4 linked regions of the Drosophila melanogaster genome follow. The protein of the gene in region 4 interacts with the protein of the main gene of each other region in a pairwise test. Each region holds a gene or a part of one and is shown on either strand. Other genes may lie near its edges.

Evidence for each region.
Region 1: the proteins of CG13728 (region 4) and opa interact in a two-hybrid assay, tested with the Drosophila melanogaster proteins (one large-scale study listed by BioGRID).
Region 2: the proteins of CG13728 (region 4) and Cp38 interact in a two-hybrid assay, tested with the Drosophila melanogaster proteins (one large-scale study listed by BioGRID).
Region 3: the proteins of CG13728 (region 4) and CG17777 interact in a two-hybrid assay, tested with the Drosophila melanogaster proteins (one large-scale study listed by BioGRID).

The regions. Positions count from the first base shown.
Region 1 is NT_033777.3:4,850,554-4,856,407, forward strand, and holds the start of opa (odd paired), read left to right. Parts: upstream 1-2,259; 5' UTR 2,260-2,552; coding exon 2,553-3,501; intron 3,502-5,854. UniProt on the Drosophila melanogaster protein: Transcription factor essential for parasegmental subdivision of the embryo. It is involved in the activation of wingless (wg) in odd parasegments.
Region 2 is NC_004354.4:8,479,503-8,484,354, reverse strand, and holds Cp38 (chorion protein 38), read right to left. Parts: upstream 2,519-4,852; 5' UTR 2,442-2,518; coding exon 2,397-2,441; intron 2,171-2,396; coding exon 1,295-2,170; 3' UTR 1,044-1,294; downstream 1-1,043. Other genes in the region: Cp36 (chorion protein 36), read right to left, coding at 4,055-4,852.
Region 3 is NC_004354.4:2,184,054-2,188,600, reverse strand, and holds CG17777 (uncharacterized protein), read right to left. Parts: upstream 1,747-4,547; 5' UTR 1,673-1,746; coding exon 1,661-1,672; intron 1,454-1,660; coding exon 1,133-1,453; 3' UTR 860-1,132; downstream 1-859. Other genes in the region: CG3457 (uncharacterized protein), read right to left, coding at 126-704; CG17776 (uncharacterized protein), read right to left, coding at 3,424-3,636; Nmd3 (Nonsense-mediated mRNA 3), read left to right, coding at 4,063-4,547.
Region 4 is NT_037436.4:17,379,160-17,385,265, reverse strand, and holds CG13728 (uncharacterized protein), read left to right. Parts: upstream 1-2,537; 5' UTR 2,538-2,632; coding exon 2,633-2,746; intron 2,747-2,945; coding exon 2,946-5,093; 3' UTR 5,094-5,240; downstream 5,241-6,106. Other genes in the region: CG13731 (uncharacterized protein), read left to right, coding at 1-1,238.

The sequences.
Region 1 (5,854 bases), on a different chromosome or scaffold from region 4:
GTGCCCATGCCACGCGGCCATGTCCCCAGGTTGTCCCCGACGCCCACCGGTTGGTTGCCCACTTGGTTGTGGCCAAACTGATTAAGCACAGCTGAGGGTTCAGTCCGCTGCTTTTAGGGGTGAAATCGACACCAAAATATGAATACGTCTACTAACACGACGGATTGCAAATAATCAGGGCTTAAAAGAACTCGACTATAAAACATATGGTTGGCTATGATGGAGGAAGATAATTAAAAAATCGCAAAAGCTACAAGATTTTTGATGTTACTTGGATCTTCAGAGCTTCTATTGAACTTGGAATGATTGACTGGGTCGTTAAATTCGTTTTCTGCATTGGAAAGTGGATATTCGGTCTAGTCCAAAATGGACCTCTTGAATCACAGACAACAACAGAAGCTGCAACCTGCTGGGCCAACTTGCATTTTGTTTATCTGGGCATTTTAAATTTATAATTTCTTGTTTGCTAGCGCCTGAGATTGTTTCCCCCGCTCCTTTTTTGTTATTAAGAGTTTATTGCATTTTGCGCTTCCATTTTCAAGTGGCTCGTACGGCATTATTTATGGGAGTAGTTCTATGGCAGTGCGCTAGAAATCCACTTCAGCCGACTGCTCCGTTTGCAGCCCATCATCTGCTCCAACCCGGCGGCTTCGTCCTCATCCTCCATCATCGATATGGAGCAATGGCTTCATTTCGAGTGACACTTGTCGCTGGAGCTCTGCGGGACTGGGTGCCTGCCAGCTCGGTGCACTTTCCGCTGCTTTATGGTCTTGCCCGTCTCCCAAAATGGCATTGGGGTCGGTATGACATTCGGACGACTATGGACTGTCGATTGCCGTCCGCTGATTGCTGATTGCCGCTGAGTTGTTTTGACAATTTAATAGCCGAACCGCTTGGCGGTGACGCTTTATGTCACAATTTGCCCCAATTAATTCATTGCGGAAATCAAGGTAATTAGCATGGAATCACATGGTCTTTTCTTGCTCTCATTCTCATTTAAACTTTACCAGGAAATATTGTTTTCTCAAACGATAAATTCAGGGCAATATATTTGATTAGAAAATACTGTTTTTGAATAAAAATTTGATTACTCAATATATATCCAAATTCAATTTGATTTTAATTATTATCGTTTTAAAAGCTTAAGCAATTTTTAATACTCTGCCAGCAATTACATATCAACCTTAAATTATCTACAGATGAGGACTAGTTCAAAACACGAATACTAAACGAAGACAATTTTGATGTTAACGACCTTCCTTTTGCATCGCTCAGTTTTTGGATTGTAAATAGAAAAAATCATATATTTTGAGAAGAGCGTCTGACTATATACATACAGCATAGTGTTATACCATATTATCACAAAGCAAATGTTTTGTATGAAAATAAATTTATACATTTTTGCCCTATGCAGGCGAAGTATCACTTCACAGTCTGCCCCAAAAGCCACTTTGCCGGGGCACTTAACACTCAGCAGAATCCAATCAAGTCGATTGATACAAGATTATGTATTGATTCGACTACTGCTTATTGAAAATTCCATAAATTAGCAAATGAAAAACAGAGCGTTTGGCGCTAATGAAATCTCGTACGTCTTTATGGCGCAACCTAAACAAAACGGCTGGAAATCTCCGATGTCCGAGCACGGAATGTGCTTAATATCATTAAAATCAATAAAATAAACAACTAATTTGATAAGCTGACAGCTGGGCTACCCGAAGTGGCGGGCTATTCGTCCGCCGTGACAATGAGGAGCGGGCTGGAAAATGCATCCCCGCGAGCTTTCAATTGGCTGCCCGTCGGTCCAATCAGCATTTGGGCCCCCTGCACAGGCGCACGCCGCACGCTGTCGGCCCACCACCCAATGGCCAACCGCAGTGGGTGTTAATTTTCGCGAAACCAGTTTGCCGAGCGAGAGGGCGCTATGGTCGGGTGGGTTCCAATTGGACTGAGTGCGCAGCCTCTGTGCTCTTCTGTCCGACTCTGGAGCATGCGAGGAGGCGGCCATTTTCTTAGAGTTGTCGCACTCGCACCCATGGCTCAGGCCTATCCGACAGAGTGGTGGCTTGTGCCGAATACACCATGGCAAGCGCAACTCACCACAGGCAGGTCATACGCCTGGCCTGCTCGCACTCGCGCTTTCGTTACCCTCTATTCATTTTACGTCGTGCATAGGTCGATCCCATTCGCACGCATGCGATCGTCGGCAGATATTTTCACGAGGCAACACAGCAGCGAGTTAGAATTTCAGGAGCATTTCAGTCCTGCTGCGCATCTTGAAACGTCAAGTCTTGGCATTCGGTTAGCGTCAAGTCTTGCTGCGATTCGAACGCCCCAGAAACGCATCGCGCGCGAGTGCATTACGTAAATAAGTATCAAGTCGCATGCGAAATATCTAAGAGCGAAATAAGCGCACAGTATATACAGCTAAGTGAGGTGACCTCAGTGCGTGATGGGCTCATTGGCCTAGCAAAGTGCGAATCGAAAACTTGTAGTTCAGTTCTTTCTGAATTAATTTTAAAAACATATAAGCGAGCAATAACACTGTAACCATGATGATGAACGCCTTCATTGAGCCGGCTCAGCACCACCTGGCCAGCTACGGGCTGCGAATGTCGCCCAACACCACCGCCAGTAACAGCAACGCGCAGCAGCAACAGCAGCAGCAACTGGAGATGACCCAACAGCAGCAGCAACAACAGCAACAACAGCAGCAGCAACAGCAACAGGATCAGGAATCCGCGGCGGCCACTGCTGCAGCCTATCAGAACTCCGGATATGGGCACTTTAACAGCTATGCCTCCCGGGACTTTTTGCTGGGCAGGAGGGAGGCCGAGTACGGTGTGGCAGGATCCGCCGGACAGGCCTCCGCCGCAGCGGATTCCATGCTCTTCTCCGGCTTTCCCGCTCAGGCCGCGGAGCTGGGCTCCGGGTTCGGACAACACCCCTTCCACAGCCACCATCACCACCATCAGATGCGAATGGGCATGGCGGATGCCTACGCCGCCGGCCACCCGTACAACCACCACGGCAACTTCCCGACGGCGGCAGTGCACCACCCGGTCGTGCACCACCCGTCCCACCACGCCATGTCCGCGATGCACCCGGCCGGAGCAGGGGCCTTCCTGCGCTACATGCGCCATCAGCCGGCCTCGTCCGCCTCCAGCGTTAAGCAGGAGATGCAGTGCCTCTGGATAGACCCCGACCAGCCGGGCCTGGTGCCCCCGGGCGGCAGGAAGACCTGCAACAAGGTATTCCACTCGATGCACGAGATCGTCACCCACCTGACCGTGGAGCACGTGGGCGGACCCGAGTGCACCACCCACGCCTGCTTCTGGGTGGGCTGCTCTCGCAACGGACGCCCTTTCAAGGCCAAGTACAAGCTGGTCAACCACATCCGCGTCCACACCGGCGAGAAACCTTTCGCCTGCCCGCACCCGGGTTGCGGCAAGGTCTTCGCCCGGAGCGAGAACCTCAAGATCCACAAGCGGACGCATACAGGTAAGTGTGGCGGTGCATTCCGCTTTATATTTAAACCATATTAAACCATTCATTAAACTAAGAAAATACTTTTATTTAGTTTTGGTTTGGCAGTCAAATTCTGTGTGTAATTATTCCTGTTTTATAAAGATCTTAATACTAATAGAAAGTCGAAGCCTTATGCAGATTTTAACCGCTTATATTTAGAATAGCACATGCTAGGTCTGCAATCTCTTAGAATTCACCTTGCGTGGGCATAACCCTTGCCCGCCTGGGCAAATCCCGGACGTTGTCGATGTGAGCGTGTTACCGACGGCAAAAGTCGTTGCAACGCCCACTACCTGGCTTAACCCGCCACTGGCCGGGCGGGTCATCTTTTATGACACCTGTAAAACCTGCGCCCAAAGCTCTTCCGCGCCCAGAAAATCCCGCAAAGATGTTGTCCTTACGGCTAGGATTACTCTACGGCTTTAGGTTGACTTCGACTTTTGGTCTTAGTATTTCCCTAAGCCTGCGACTTCTCTTGACTTTGGATTTTGACTGGCATGTATTTAACTACGTTTGGAAACTTGGTCAAATTTGTAAAGGAACTGAAAAATTTAGTTTAGCTACTCCTTTGTTTTTTATACTTTAAGCCTTGTTGTCGGCTTCAGATTTTGTATTATTTAATAATAATGGCTTACTATTACTTTGATAGCCAACCGCTCTATGCAAATTCTCAATATAATTAATTTTTCTTAAATCCATCATTAATCATGCCCATTTCAAGCATTTCTCTTTCAATTGTCTTTCAAAAATAAATTAAAATCGCTTTGCAGCTCATAGCCTGAACACTTTTGAAAAAACATAGCCATAGTTGGAGGCTTTAAAATACAATTTATGCGGTATAGTCGTGATCTATGAGAAGTCGAACTATAAAGCCAGAAACGGAGCTTAACGCAAATTAATGACTTTGATTCCAGTGGCTGTTGAACTTGTTCCATTGAAATTTATGGCTGAGCATGTAGGGCTCATTAGAAGCGGCGAAACACAGCCATTAAAATCAATTAACAAGTGGAAGTTGGGAAAGCAAACATGAAATGCGAAAACACAAAACAAAGTTTCGCATAATTGGTGAAAAGAGCGCCAATCAGGTTAATAAACTTTCCAGCAAATATCGCTTGGTCCTGGATTATCCTTGATTGACCTCAGCCTTGGCGTAATTAACTTGGAAATTGGAGGAGAAGAATGAAAATATGGCCAGCAATATTCCGCAATATCCAGCATGCTTATATTTTGTTGTTTTAATGTTGGCTTTTGGCATTTGTTGTTGCCTCTTTATTTCTATTATTTTGTAATTTGGCCTCATGATTCCAAATTGAATTAAAATAAGACGTCGGGCTTCATTATAGCTTCATCTTGTAGTTACCGCGATTATAAACTCACAAAGAAATTCATAAATCACAGAATTAGCCACACAAAAAAGCTATTTCTGTAAATCTGTTCGGACAACAGTATTTTCTTTTGCACACTCATCGAAAGGTAATTAAAATGTTTCGATTTGATTTCGAGACGCCGCCATATTGTGTTCGATTTTGGAACAATCATGTGGCATTATAATGAGTTGGTTGCTGTATGATGATATTTTTGACTAATTTCATATTTCTTTTCTCCGCCGTGATGCAGCAGAAAAGTGCATTTTAGGACCTCTGACTGATTTGTGTGTGCCTATGATTGGTTGACCTGGCTACACATTGTCGGAGATAGCCAACATATTGATTAGCTTTCAAGTGGCCGGCGCACAACTTCATTACGGATCGGGATCGAGCTGGGATCGGTCTGGTATCTGGCTGGGATCGGGGCCTTTAACCTTTCCATACGACTCGGGCACTTGAAGTAGCATCCTCCACACCGCATAAATCAAAAATTCAATCAGCATCGCTGGCTCGGCTAAATGTCCCTTGGCACTGGTGTTTGTTTTTATTGCATTGACACCGCCGACCCAGGGCAAATAAACACACTCGAACACACTGTGTTGACACGTGTCAAAACTTCCGTTTGAAATGGCTCGGAAATGCTTCCGAGGCACTCCGTGCTGGCCCTCTCAAAAAAGCCATCGAAACCGAAATTGGGGTAACACTCGCCGGATTACTGGACGCATTCGCACATTCGCATTCCACTCCTCTAGCTTTATTTTATTTGCGCTGCGATTGTTTCTGTGCTGTTCTGTTTGGGTTACTCGCCATGCTACATTAAGCTTTTGATTTAGATTATGCAAAGGTTATTTACGACCTGGCTTCCACTCCTCGCCGATGGGACGGGTGAGGGGTCCGAGTTTGATAAGTGGGTGAGTAAAACGGAGCAGGGCAGTCAAGTACGTGTTTATGGATCCAGC
Region 2 (4,852 bases), on a different chromosome or scaffold from region 4:
ACTTGGAAGCTAATAATACGATGGTATCACAGAAATCTTTGTACATAAGTTTAATATTTCAATTCACCAACGTACCTGTATGGTTTGTTTAATTTGAATCGGCCAATAAGCAATATATGTCTCTGTAACAATTTCGGTTATAAGGACTTTCTGTGATACCCTGGACAAAATTTGTTATAGGTATTATTTGTTGTTATTCTATGGTTAACATATCAGTCATTGTTAAAACAATACTAACTTGTCCAGAACAGTAGGCGATTATTGCGAAACACAAACCCATTACAAGGAAGCATAAGTGACTCATTTCGCCTCTGTTGTTGGTTATTTGGTTTTGTTTTTTTTTTTTTTATCACCGAAAAGTGTTCGCAAAAAAAAATATTTGAACTTGAAACCGATTTGTTTTGGCTCGCTTTAATAATTCTGTTTAGTTGGTTATTTTATTAATGCTCTCAATTTATTTCTGCTTACAGACTGAAATCTCTGTGCAAAGGTATCGCATTTTTATGCTGAATTTTCAAACTGCCAAATGGGCGGCACTGGGCGACCTAAATTGCGATTCCACCTGTCATCAGCCGAGCTCTTCTTTGCCTTACCTATCATTATAGCCGATTTTGCCGCCCGTTTGTTATTGAACAATTGCGTGGGATGCCATTGGCATAACGCACAACAATGGGGAAGGACAACCAAACGATGTGTGTAATGACAGCCTGCGTTTCGGATTTATTGTATTTATTATATGCGACACTTGTTGCTGCGAATAAAGTTGCGGGTAAGTCAGTTCTCCCATCATTAAATCGATTCTCATCATATGCACTTTGTGTAACAATAATTATATAATAATATCAATGATATTACTCACTGTCTATGCTATAAGTGTATCAAGTTTAAAATGAGTCGCAAGACTATCAATAACTATCAATTAGAGTATATATCTAATGATAGTTTAATTTAAATATAACTAGCATCTAGATTTCACCCTTCATCGAAAACAACATTCAGCTTGGGTATAATTGTTTTTTTTTTTTTGTTCAAATTTTTTATTTGTTTTGCAAAGAAACCTGAGTGCCACGCCCCTCCTGGGCCGTTGAATGGGTGAGTGGGTGGTATTGGGGTGTGCATGAGTGGGCGTGGGCGTAGGCATGGGCGTTGGTCGATCAGGCTGTTTTTTTTTTTTTTTTTTGTAAAAAAAACATAGTAACTAATCAGCCGGATAAGCGAATGACTAAACCAGCCGCTTCAGTTGATTCCGGAGCCGCAGCAGTCATCCAATCCGTAACTCCTCCGCATCTGTTACCTAATAGGCGGGAGCAGCATAGCCGCCATGTCCGGCTGGACCGGCGCTATAGTGCTGATGGCTTGGAGCGGGACCATAGGGACCCTCACGCTCGCCGGCGATGTTGGCAAGAGCGGACAGACCCTGGTTGCCGCTCTGGAGCAGCTGATAGCCAGCGCTGGCGGCAGCGGAATCAGCTCCCGAAGCGTAGGCGGGCAGAGCACGGCCACCGTCATGGGGTCCAGGACCATGGGGTCCAGCACCGTGTCCACCGTGTCCGTGTCCGCTGTGTCCGTGTCCATGGCCACCGTGTCCATGGCCGTGTCCGTGGGACTGCGAGCCCTGTCCGTAGCCCTGCTTGTTCTCGTTGACAAAGTACTTCTCTGCTGGGGGCTTGACCACATTGACGAACACGGGCTCAACCTTGACGCGACGTGGGTGGTGCTTGACGTAGACCTTGCGGAGAACGATTGCTGGGGGCTTGTGGAGCACCACGGGAGCGGGCTTAACCACCAATGGTGGATGGTTCACCAGCACCTTGGTGGGCGGACGCTTGACAATGATGGGAGCGGGACGATGGATGAGGATCTCGCCCTTGTTCTGCGGGTAGGTGATCGATGAGGTCAGGGTGTTACCCTTGGTGTTCACCGGCTTGTACGGAATGTTCTGGTCGGATCCGTAGCTGCTCTGGCCAGCCTGTGCCACACCGGCGGCATCGGCTCCGGATTCGAGAGCACCAGCACCGGCGTTAGCACCACCGTACTCGCCACCAGCTCCACCGGCACCGCCGGCAGCTGCTGCGGCCGCTGAAGCGGCATCAGCACCGCCATCGGAGGCACCGCTTCCGGACTCGGGTCCATAGCCCTGGGAACTGCCGTAGTTGGCGCTTGCACAGGCCTAAAAGTAAATTGAGGGGGGGGGGGTGGATTAGAATTGGATCGACATATACATATACTTAAAATAAGTCTAGCATCGATAGATAGCTTGATTCCGTTTCAAGTAATTTAAAGGAAAGTCAATTTGCTTTTCATGTACGATTTACATGGCACAAACGAAAGCAGTCAGAATTGATAGACTTGGTTTTCTTGGGATTAATCCTAAGATTTCGAGCTTGAACACTTACGATCAGGCAGGCGGCCAGCGCCCAAATGTAGGTCGATCTCGTCATCTTGTCTCCCAGTTGCAGTTCCAGTTGCTCTTCGGCTTCTGGTGTGCTCCCGCTTGGACTGTCTGCTGTCTTCTGCTGCCCTCCATTGGTGGCCGACTACTTTAAATATGCTCCGGACGCGTCTCCGGCTCCGGGTACGTGACATTTGGATTGATGCCAACTCCGGTGCCGGCTGTTCCGCTCCGGGCCCACGCGATGCGAACGAAACATGGCCAAATGTTGATAGATCGCACGCATCGCTGCCAGCGCATATCACGGCGTCTCTTCCACTTACGTAGAAGCCACAACCCGAAAACCCCACTGCCCACTGCCCAGTTGCCATTGCCCGTTTTACAATAACAACGAACACATTGCCACCGAATCGGAATCAACAGCCGGGCTGTGAATCTTTGCCGCATATCGAGGTCCGAACGTCTGTTCAGATAGCGAAAATAGTTCCGCATTGGCAGACACAAGACTCCGGGAGTCGGAATAAGAGGTAATCCGAGGTGTAAGTGGATAGGGGGAAATGATTAGCCACCCAGCTGTAGTCCTTGAATTTCACACGGATTGCGCAGATTCGATTGTCTTTCTATTGTATTGTATTGTATTGTATTGTATTGTATTGTATTGTATTGTATTTCTTACTATAAATGTGATTAGATTGTTAGAAGAGTGGCTATCTTCACATGACCATTTTTAATTTAGAAAATCCATGTAACTGATTAAACCATCAGTTTAAAGTACCATATAAAAATGTATACTTAATAATTGCCAGATAAAATAAATCTCTAGTTGCAAAGAGATTTGAAGATGAAATATGGATCTTTAGCTATTCCAATTAGGAATTCAAAGGCTTACAAACACCTAAAAAGATTTCCAATTCTTCAATTATTATGTTGTTATGTTTTAAAACAATCTTATGAAACTCTAATATGAATTTGGCGTTTCAAAAGAAAAGGTTTAAATACGTATTTAATGCATTAAAAGTGCTATATTCTTTGTTTAAAAGAAAAGAGGCCGTAAAATTATAGTTGCTCCATTAATTCATAGTTATGTTATTATTTATTATTCATTCCGGAATCAACAATATGTTGATAAAGATGACCTTTTGATCCCATTCTTTGCAATTAAACGATAACTGGAATAAGATAGCTACCATCACAAGAGTGTGAAATAATTTCATGCATGATAATGCTATCCAATATCTTTCGAATTGTATCTCATAAAATGCGTACCATGTTTATGCATATTTATAGAATAGTTAAAATACTTGTATGACCGTAGAGATTTCAATTACAAACTTATTTATACTCGTTCATAATTTTATGTTCATACTTTATACCATTTTCCCCTTTATTATTTATTTTTGAAGAAAACTAGATATAATTTTTTGTTCTCTCATGCATTCGTATATATTTATATATTCATAAATATGTGCTTAATCTGTGTGCTTCATTGCCACTCAGGTAGCCCCTTCCGGTCGAAAATAATTGATGACAAAACGTTTACGTTTCAAGTATTTTTTTTTCATTTATTTGCGCTCAGTAGTTCGGCAAAGAAAAAAAAAAACAAAAATTTAAATTAAACCAGCTGTCGCAGCTGAGGAGCAACCCATGCCCAGGATGAGCACCTTAGTAGTTGGGCTGGCCATAGGGCGCGGGGCTGTTGTACAGTGGAGCCTCGTTGCCGTAGGCATTGCCATCGGCAGAGGAGGCGGCACCGGCGGCGGAGGAAGCAGCTCCGGCACTACCATAACCCTGGGGCTGGCTGTACTCCCTGGGCTGGCTGTAGACGGGTGCAACCACCGGGGCCAGTGGAGCCTCGATCTTCTTGCCGGGCTTGTAGACCTTCACGTAGACGGGGTTGAGGCTCAGCGGAGTGGGCACCTTGTTGATCACCTCCTGTTGGTAGATGACCGAGGGCTTGATCTTGTAGATCACCGGATTGCCGCGCACCACAGTCGGTGGGCCGCTGTTCACATGGGCTGGTGGTGCACCAGGCTGGTGGACAATGATTGGTGGCAGGGGCTGGGTGGCGATCACCTGGTGATTGTTGTGGCCCGATGGCACCAACAGGGAGCGGAACAGATGCTGGTCAACGAACTGTGGCGACACCACCTTGATCTTGCCCTGACGGATATTGCTGGCCAGATTGGTCTCGGCCAGAGATTCGGCAATATCCTCGGAGTTCTTCAGCTTCTGGTAGTTGGGATCGGCATTGAGGGCCTGAAGTTGGGCCTGGACGCGACCCAAACGACGGGCCTCCTCCGGCGTGGGCTGGATCTCGGCCTGTGAGGCGATCTGATTGGCAGCCTGCTGGTTGCCACCAGACGCCACATTCACGTACTCCTCGAGTCCGGCATTGGGACCGGACAGGTACTGTCCATGTCCATGTCCGTGTCCGTGTCCGCCAGCGGGACCATAGTTAGC
Region 3 (4,547 bases), on a different chromosome or scaffold from region 4:
AATGGGTTATTATACTTGTTTACGTATACAAATTGTTATGATAAATGGAATGTGAAATGGGGGGGGGGGGGGTGGGCTTTGAGTGCAGCTGCGCTATGTTTTCATAACGCGATAAGCGGTCAGGATTACACTCCTCCCCTAGCCCCATCCTCCTCCTCCACCTCTTGCAGTTGGTCCTGCTCCTCCGGCTGGGTATCAACGGTATCGTTGGTGTCCGCATTCAGGTCCACCCAGTTGTCATCGCTGATTTCGTCAATGGTATCCGTGTCATCCACTACGGCCGCCACGCTCACGTCATCCGTGGAGCCGGAATTAGTGGTGCCAGTGGTTGTGGTGGCCGTGACGGCGGACGAGGGTCTCAGTATCTCCTCCTGAGTGGCCGGAGTCGGGGTCGTCGACGTGGTGTACGATGCGGAGGAGGGTGTCTCCGAACGGTAGCCCATTCCCGTAATGTACGACCCGGACCCAGAACCCGAGCCCGATCCAGACCCTGATCCGGATCCCGATGCGGTTTCCGTGGCCGTTTCCGTGTTGGAACTGCAACTTGCCGTTGTTCCCGAAGTGGAGGCGTCGTCTCCGGGGAGGGCGTCCTGAGAAAGCCTAGGTCGCGGGGCGCCCTTTAACTTGTTCTTTTGGCGGGCAACCTCATAGTCCTTGAGATCGGACAGCTTGAGTGTGATTTTCTGCAGATCGCGCTTCAGCATCTCGAAGTCGAATTCCTGATTTTTGCTGATGATCCGAAAGACTGGTGGTCACGCGCCGATCGCAATTAGAACAGTGACTTTTGTATAACAGTCACTGGGCCAATAGCGGCTTTATACCTTCACTGGCCCCCATAGAGTGACCGAAAATCACTTTTACTGTCATACATATGCAATGTAATCGATTCTTTATTGTTGAGTAGGATTTAACTTTGTTTACATATGTACATATATCATATTTGTACTACATCCAACCCAAATTCAAAGACATGCGAGTAATGTATTCGCTATTTGCAGTACATTTATATTGCGGTGAATGATGGGGGAAAACCAGTACATATACATATACGAATGATGGTGCAGTGATGAGCATGGAGCGATCGAGAAAAAAAAAACAGTATGCATTACGATCTTGGGGATAGGTAGTGGTCCTAGTAGAAGCCGTAGTGGCCATGGTGGTACGGATAGTAGCCGTGGTGTCCGCCGTAGTAGGGCGCCGCATGGACGTATCCGTAGCCGCCGTAGTAGGGACTGCTCAGTCCACCGTAGCCGCCGTAGTGACCGTGTCCATAGGCACCGTATCCGCCGTATCCGCCGTAGCCGCCATAGCCGTGGCCGAACCCGTAGATGCCTCTCTTCTCCGTCTTCTTCTCATCCACGGCGGATGGCTCCGGCTCCAGAGCTTCAGGAGCAGGCTCCGAAACTGCTGCCCAGGTGCTCATGAAGCAAATGGCCAGGATGACGAACACGCACTGCACAGAGAAAAAAAGGTTCGGTATATGAAACATTTGAAACGATGTTAACAAATGATTTGTTTCAAATTGTAGCCAGAGCACTTCCAGCAATTTTAAATAACTTGTATTTTGTTGGATAAACTGTCACTCAAAAAAAAGTCCACTCGTTTGCTTGACCGGTGTCCTGGTATCCTGGTATCCTAATGTCCTGGTGTTGCTGCTTACCAAGAACTTCATGTTGCTGCTGCAGATGTTGCTAGTGGCTGTTGGCTGGTTGACTTGATGGGTAGGGCGCCAGGCGAGGTTTGTTGATGGCTGCCAGTGGCCCGACGCTTTTATAGTCACCCGGCTTGGCTTATTGTTGCCAGTTGCTGCTACAGTTGCAATTATGCAAACTGACAATAACGGCGGCAGCAGCAGCAGCAGCAGCGATTGTTGCAGCTGAATTGAATGCATGACGGGTTGAGGACTTGAAACCGAATATTGTTTATGCTGCGGAGCCAAAAGGTCATCCATCCGCTCATCCGGCGGAGGAGAACTTGGCGGAGGATTGCAGTGGGGGGAGTGAGGTGGAGTGGGCGTGGAAACTAACGATATCGGTTATAATTGCCAGCGTAGTCGAAATTCTAAGATCCCAGGCTCGTTGGGTAACCGAAGTGGGGCAGCAACGCGATCCACAAGCAACGTGCAACACGAGACACTCGACGCGTTCCACAATCACCAAGTGCCCCTCTCGTACACGGTATGCATATCGTGTAACACTTTCACTGCCAGATCGGATGGCCAGCAGCGCCCAAAAGGCGCACTATTACCTAAGCTCGTTCAGAAGCTGGCCAAATGCTGGGATGCCACTGGCCCCGTGGGAATCGCATATGCGCGCCAGCATTATACACAAATTACAAACAATTGCACGTTTGGCAGCGTTTTGGCATTTTAATTAAGCTGCCAGACAGCTGAGATCTCTGCCAGATCATTTCCAATGCAAAGTCTTATCGACAGAATATCCAAAGTGCACGACTTTGACGGAGACCTCTGGCTTAAGGGGTATATTGGGACAAGGATCGGTGACCAGGTCAATGGTCATTAGTTTTAATGGGCTTGAAACTAGGTTGAAGAGATCTTCTATTCAGAGGAGCACAGCTTTTGCTTAATATACTAAAGTTTTAAAACAATTTGATAGCCATTTGGGCAGACGACTCTGTTCTGCGCGTTCCATTATTCTCGATCACTTCCGTCTGCCGGGGGTACTTGCTACCCAGTACCCAGTGCCGTGCCCACACAATAAAGGACGACCTTGACCGCAGTGGCAATTGCAAATCGCAATTGCAGTCTGCTGCGGCTGTTGCTTTTGCTGCTCCGAGTTCCCAAGTCATGAATGAAGCAACGCCGGAGGCAACATTGTTGAATGAAGCATGCAAAAGATTTTCCCAATCGACGACGTCTCGCCATCTCTGGCCAAAAGTGGGTGGCACCGCCATTGTCTCCTTCTCCCCGCGGTTGTTTTCGTATCCACATCGTTTAATATTTATGCTCTGCCCATTGGAGGTGAATGCACGCGAGACGCGTTGGGCAAGCGGAAGACCAAGCAGCCAAGGGGTTTGGTCTATGGACTGGGACCTGGTCACGATCCGGAGATGACAACATATTTGATTGCCAGCTAAATTATAATTCTTGACTAAGTCTAGTCCGCCGAACGGGTCGATGTCCATGTCGCTGTCGATTGATTGATTTCCCATTGTAGCCGACCAGTTTGATTTACGGCCCAGACGGCTAATTGCGCATTGTTGGCTTGGTTCCAGGGTTAGATCTTGAATCTGGAATCTTACAATCCCACCGGGCCTGCCGACGGTCCTCCACTTTGGCCAGCTGTCCGAGGTTACACAACAACAACCGGCGTTGGCCGTTTTCAGCTGAAAATGCTTACATTTCCTTACAGTTTATTGCGCTTAACAGACATTTAACAATTAAAGGGGCGGAGGAGGGCGCGCCTAGTACTTCAGTTCCTTGGCCTTGTCGTGGGCTCCCTCGTCCAGGAGCTTCAGCTCCGCCTGCTGCTTCTCCGGTCGGATGACCGTGCAGTAGTGGTAGTAGCGCATTCCCAGGATGTAGGTGCCGTACAGGGTGACTCCAATGCAGGCATACACCGCGCCGCGGTGCAGCTTGTCCAGCAGCGTGTTGGTGTTAATCGGCTTCTTCTGCATGGCGGCAAATCCCTTCCAAGTCCATAAAAGTTTCCGGCAGTCGAGTCCGTCGCCTCAGCTGGTCTGTCAGTGATGACGGCGGCGAATGTATCGATAATTGGGCGTACATTTACTAGCCAAAATAAAGATGAAGACAGTCGAATGAGTACTATATTTTTAAGTGAATTTTAGGAAATCGTTCCAAATGTCCCATTTAGCTTTGAGTCTCACTCGTTTAACGTCGTTTTATCGTTAATCTCACTTTTAGCTACTCTAGCTGGAAAAGGCTTAACTTAAATCGCCGATTAATAATATCGCTGATCTCTGGCCAATCGATATACACCTATACGCACGTGTTTACAAATTTGTGTACTTCGTGGGAATATTTCATCGTATTCTACAACGCCATTGTGAAATAGCTGGACCGAATAGACCTCCGGAGGATTCATGGATCACGAATACGTTGGGGTTAGCCCGCTGGGCGCAGCGGACGGCAAGGGCGCCGGATCGAACGCCGTCATCCTGTGCTGCGAGTGCGGAGTGGCCATCCAGCCGAATCCGGCCAACATGTGCGTCACCTGCCTGCGCAACCATGTCGACATCACGGAGAACATCCCAAAGCAGGCCGTGCTCCACTTCTGTCGTAATTGCGAGCGCTATCTGCAACCGCCGAACGAGTGGATACAGGCCGCCTTGGAGTCCCGCGAACTCTTGGCCATTTGCCTTAAGAAGCTAAAAGGCCTGAAGGAAGTGAAGTTGGTGGATGCCGGCTTCATCTGGACAGAACAGCACTCCAAGCGCATAAAGGTGAAGCTGACTGTGCATGGGGAGATCATCGGGGGAACGATGCTCCAGCAGGTATTCGTGGTGGAGTTCACTGTGCAGAACCAGATGTGCAACGACTGCCATCGGACCGAGGCCAAGGACTTCTG
Region 4 (6,106 bases):
CACCAACCACTTACCTGCCACCCCCAACTGTGCGCACCACCCGCCCTCCTCCACCACCCACTCGTCCACCAACTAAGCCACCAACCACTTACTTGCCTCCCGTTACCGTGCGCACCACCCGTGCCACCCCACCACCAACTCGTCCCCCAACTCGCCCCCCAACCCCTCCTCCAACTAGGCCACCACCACCACCAACCCGTGCATCGACTCCAGCTCCTACCTACCTGCCTCCCACCAACAAACCACTGCCACCAGTCACCGTGCGCACAACTGTTCGTACCACTCCTCGTCCAACTTTGCCTCCTACCAAGCCACCAACTCGCCCACCAACCACTTACTTGCCACCCCCAAGTGTGCGCACCACCCGCCCTCCTCCACCACCCACTCGTCCACCAACTAAGCCACCAACCACTTACTTGCCTCCCGTTACCGTGCGCACCACCCGTGCCACCCCACCACCAACTCGCCCACCAACCCGGCCACCAACCTACCCACCCACCACTCGTCGTTTAACAACCCCGGCTCCTACTTACCTGCCACCCACCAACAAGCCTCTGCCACCGGTCACCGTTCGCACCACCGTTCGTACCACTCCTCGGCCAACTCTGCCTCCTACCAAGCCACCAACTCGCCCACCAACCACTTACCTGCCACCCCCAACTGTGCGCACCACCCGCCCTCCTCCACCACCCACTCGGCCACCAACTAAGCCACCAACCACTTACTTGCCTCCCGTTACCGTGCGCACCACCCGTGCCACCCCACCACCAACTCGCCCACCAACCCGGCCACCAACCTACCCACCCACCACTCGTCGTTTGACAACCCCGGCTCCTACTTACCTGCCACCCACCAACAAGCCTCTGCCACCGGTCACCGTTCGCACCACCGTTCGTACCACTCCTCGGCCAACTCTTCCACCCACGAGGCCCCCAACTAAGCCACCAACCACCTACCTGCCTCCCCCAACTGTGCGCACCACCCGCCCTCCTCCACCACCCACTCGGCCACCAACTAAGCCACCAACCACCTACCTGCCCCCCGTCACTGTTGTGCGCACCACCCGACCTCCTCCACCACCCACTCGTAGGACCACCGTGTACGTGCCACCACCAACAGTGCGCACCACCGTGTACGTGCCACCCCCTACGCAGCGCACCACAGTCTACGTCCCACCCGCACCCACCAAGCACCAGGGCTACCAGTACCCCGTGCCCAGCATCCCCTTCAACTTCTAGATCTAGAGATCCAGATGTGATTAGGGATAGGGCCATCGTCTAGGGCTAGATTGATCTAGTCAATTCTCGTACAGTCTAACTTTACACGATCCGGCGCCAGCGGTGCTAGAGGGCGCCACTGGTGCGCCTGCAAGGACGACATTTGTTTGTTTTTATTTTATTTTTGTAATTAATGAATCGCATACTCATACAGCTAGGGATCATTGTAAATGAGTGCCCCAATTGTACAGCTAACAGTCTATCCAACTCTTGCTATGTTCTATCACTATTCTACAATCGATGGGCGGCCGTCGTCTGTGACGGACGCCAGCTCAAGACTATATAGCTCTATATTACGATTAAATAAACTTTTAATTCGGATCGCTGAAACCTGAACAATAAAATAAGTTTTTCGAATATTTACAAGCATTTTTTTCATCTGTTTTTGGGAAGCGGAAATTACATGCGGTCCTGTTATGTTATGTGCGATGTTTGAAACCCAAACAATAATAACATATTTTCTTTTTCACTCCTAACCGGGAAATGGGATCAAGCCATGTCCGGGAGATTTTGTGGTCTGGTTGGTCTCGTGGGTTCCTCCTCTTTTGGGAGTTATCTTAAAAGTCGGTTTTAACGACTATGCAAAGGAGATCGTTGCTTGCAAGTCATAAAGCGCCCAAAGTGCAGGTTAGGCAGTTAACCTTGACCTCCACTTCTGGTCTCTACTAATTTAAGTTATGGATGTGAAACACGTTAGCTTAGTTAATAGGTTTGAAAAGTTCGTATGAGTAGGTATTTAAATACATGTATGTTTACTATGAGCGATGTATATTTTCATGAAATATGAAATAATTTAACCTTAGGTTATAATTAAATGTCAAATTTGAGATATAGTTAAAATGTGATTTGAACTTATGACTTTTAAAATATTGAATCGATTTTTTTAATATAATTATTGATTATCACTAAATGTTATCATTTCCCTTTTTAAAAAGTATTTCACTTATATACAAAATTAGAGCTATGGCTAGTCAGCTCCTTCGTGAGTGCATAACCACTTCGGTTTCATCACGCCCCGAAGATATTTCTAGTTACTTCGCAGCTATCTTCAGATTTTCATGGTCAATGCGTTTTTTAATATCTCTTTCTTTTCCACTTGCCTGGGAGCACGAATTCGCCTGAGCAATTAATTTATTTATCTGTCTGTAGCTTGCTGTTTTGCTTTCGCAGCCAAACTCTATTAAACTTTCTAATTAAGCTGTTGCACTTGGGCCGATATAACCGACGCTTTTTAGGCGCCGCCAGCTCCCAGTTGCAATCAGTCATCGTTGCGATCCGCGATGAGGCAGAAGCTCAGGCCCACATTCATCAAGCGATAGGCAAGCCGAGTGGTTCGAGCAGCAGATCCCGGAAAGATGTTCATGCAGTCGGCAGTCGGTCAAGGACAACGGGACACTCGAACGCGACTGGATCCTTGCTGGACTAAAGGCAGGCGGTGGATTATGGGCCTGATCCTGGTGTACACAATAGTGAGTTGAGGATTCGAACCTCTTATACAAAAGGGTTTTTTTTTTATTACGCAGTACAGTGTAATTGGACAATTTTTGTTTGTTGTTTACATATTTTGAGTAACAATTACGCGAAAATCTAGACATGAGGAAAGGGGGCCGTAATTGTACATCTCCCAATTATCTCTTATCTTTGATTTCATTTTGTGTGTACCCGCAGATGTCTCTCATGGTAGTGAAGGTCGCCTCCGCAGCCACTCTTTATCAGCAGCACCAGCAGCAGCAATCTCTGAACGACATTGAGTCCTCAGCAGACGAGCCATCCCAGGCCACCACGGAGATCGAGCCCTCGGACAGCGACAGCGACATCGAGAAGATGCGGGCCAAGCTGCAGCAACTGCAGCACGAGCAGCAGCAACAGTACCTGCGCCAGCAGCAACAGCAACTGCAGCTGCATCTGCAACAGATGCAGGCGACGCAGGGAGCTGCTGGGGAAACCGCCTACTTATTGGAGCGTGCCGATAGCAACATTGCACCCATCTACGGGACGTGGCGCACGAAAGCGCAACGGCAGCAACACGCAACATCTTCGCACGAAACGGACGACGCCCATGTTTACGAGCGCCTGCCCAAGCGATCGGCGACCATGACGCCACTGAGGGGGTTGCTGCGAGATCAGATGCCACGCCCCCCGCGCCTCACCACCCAGGATATGCAATTGTCCCTGGGCTCACCCTCTCCGCCACCGGCGCCCACAAAGGGTTTGCTACGAAGGCAGTACTCCGAAACGCCGGGAACCCGAGCACTTCGAGGTCAGGATGAGTTCAAGCCAAAGCCGTTCCACTTCCCCTACGATGGTCCGATGCCCGAACAGTTCACTAAGGGTGAGGGTCGACCCGAGCTTAACAACATCCAGGATATCCTGCAGCATCTGCACATCGGAGGCTTAGCGCCCAGTAAGCTGCCACCAATGGTGATGATGCCCACGGGTCTACACATCGCCGGTACGTTCAAGAATTTCAAGTCCAGTGGAATAGGGAACTTCTTTCGCGGCAAGCGCAACAAGAAACAGATGCAGTTCACCATACCGATGCCCATGTTCCCCATGATGTCTATGCCAATGCCATGGTATAATCCCGGTGTGATGCCCCACCAAAGGGTGGCCATCGATCAACTGTATCCTTACAAGCCCCGTTCACCGCAGGATGTAAATCTGTTAGCCATGCAGCCAGTGGGAAACGGAAAACCATTGTCTAAAAAGAAGAAAAAGAAGCAACAACAGCACCTTCAGCAGCAACTGCAGCAACAACATCAGCAACAACAGCAGCAACAACAGCTACTGGAGCATGGCAGTCAGCAGCATTTTGTGGCAGATCCCTTCGTGCACCAGCATTTTGCACAGCCTGTGGTCACGCTGAATGCCACACGGCAACCGCATCTGAAAAGGGTTCCTTTTAAGGTCAATCTGGACATATATCCTGTGCTGCCGCCTTCGCGGCCTGCCTCTGTGATGCGGCATCCATTTCAGCAGGACTATGCCCTTCCCTCGCCTGCTGCATTGACTGGTACCACGGCTGCCGCGTATCACATGGGTCAGGGCATTTACCAGACTCCCTTTAAGTTCCCCACCCAACAGCCCGTAGTCTTCCCTGACCAGGCTACCAGATACAGTCAGCAGCAGGCTCTGTACCACAACCAGGCCCACAAGTTTCCGCCACCGAAGAGCGTGCATCCTGAGGAGCCCATTTACGGACAGAGTTCCGGACAGGGTCAAAGTCAAGTGGATAGCCAAACGAACCCCATCATGGTGCACTTGAACGTGTTCCCCAAGCAGAAACCAACTGCCACGATTCGCGCCTCCACCAATCCATTCTACAATCACAACATGCAACGCAACATGATCAACTCGAATGACTTGCCGCCACCCAATCCGCCCAGTCCCATTGAACCAAGACAAGAAGTCAATGGCAGTGGCTCTGGTCTGCAACAACAGCAGCAGCAGCAACACCATCCGTCGCAGCAGCAGCAACACCATCCGTCGCATAATCAAACCCAACAGCAACAGGAAGCGACACAACAGCAACATCTGCAATCCCAGCCAGGAAATCGATCCAGTACCATTTCGCGCAGCGATCACCTGCCGCTTATTGACTTTGAGCATCCTATTGTGGCGGCTGAGCTCCCAGATCATTCCGCCTTGGGCAGCATTCGGCAGGATTATCGATATAGGAAAACACCTGCGGATGAGCACTATCGTTATCCGAAGAGCGCCAATATCGAACAGATGGCAGCGGAGGCCCAGACCGCCTCGCTTTTCCGCTTTCCGGTTGAGGATCTGATACAGTTCCAGGTGGACGATGCTCTCTAACCACTAACTACGCTAGTTGTACTTAGAGTAAGTTAAGGCTAGCTGTTCCGCATTGCAAGGACTTACCTTGAATAATTAAATGAAATATAGCTAAATTGAATGTTTTGTATTTATAATATTATTAATAAAGGTATCTCAATTTCTATTAACAGACGCGATTCTTATTATTCAAATCATGTTTTGGCATTTTATCAGAATTAATTTATTCGGTAGTGGGTTGATAAAAAATGAATAGATTTTGCTAATATGTAGATTGATAGCGCATAATTTAATGTAGTTCAAGTTGTACAAATTCTTAAGGCTTATTTTTAATCGGATCATGAAGTTAATTTACATCTCTGTATGTAATTTTTATTACAAATGTTGTAGTTTGCTTCATATTAAATTAAATTAAAGCAGGGCTATGGATTGTAAATAGGAACCCCTTTAAAAGGTAGGCAATAATGAATCCCGAAAATACTTTTTTCGTGAGCCCAAAAGTGGGCTTCAAACTTCACTGCCAGTTTTCATTGCCAATTCCATTGCGCGTGCGCGAAACCCGCAGCAAAACAGAACCGGCAAGAGCCGAAAACCAGTATTCCGAGCCGAGTCTTTGTGAGCGCCTCTCATTGGAAAGAACGGGCAGCAACAGGTAAGTCCGGCCAGAAGGTAAGCGAGCGTCGCTTCGTACAGACGTGGTCGCGCTTGTAACTCGACTCAAATCGGCATCCGCAAGATACTTTAGAGCAATCCGTAGCAGCAAAAACAACAAGAGCAGCAAGGCGCAAGATCAAGTTTCGGACCCTAGCGTCATCCGTTGTGCGGTTTCGAGTGTGTGTGTTATTTGCGTGCGTTGGCCAAAACCGAAAATATAACCGTGGAATAGTTGACCAGAAATGGTCATTCCGCATTAGTGTTAATTATAGTTTATTTGCCCGAACTGCTTGCCCTAAGCCGACCGCCCAAATTGCATTTACTTCCTGCTTTTTCGCCACGCTCTCTCCTTCTTCCTCTCCGCCATTTCGGTCTCCATT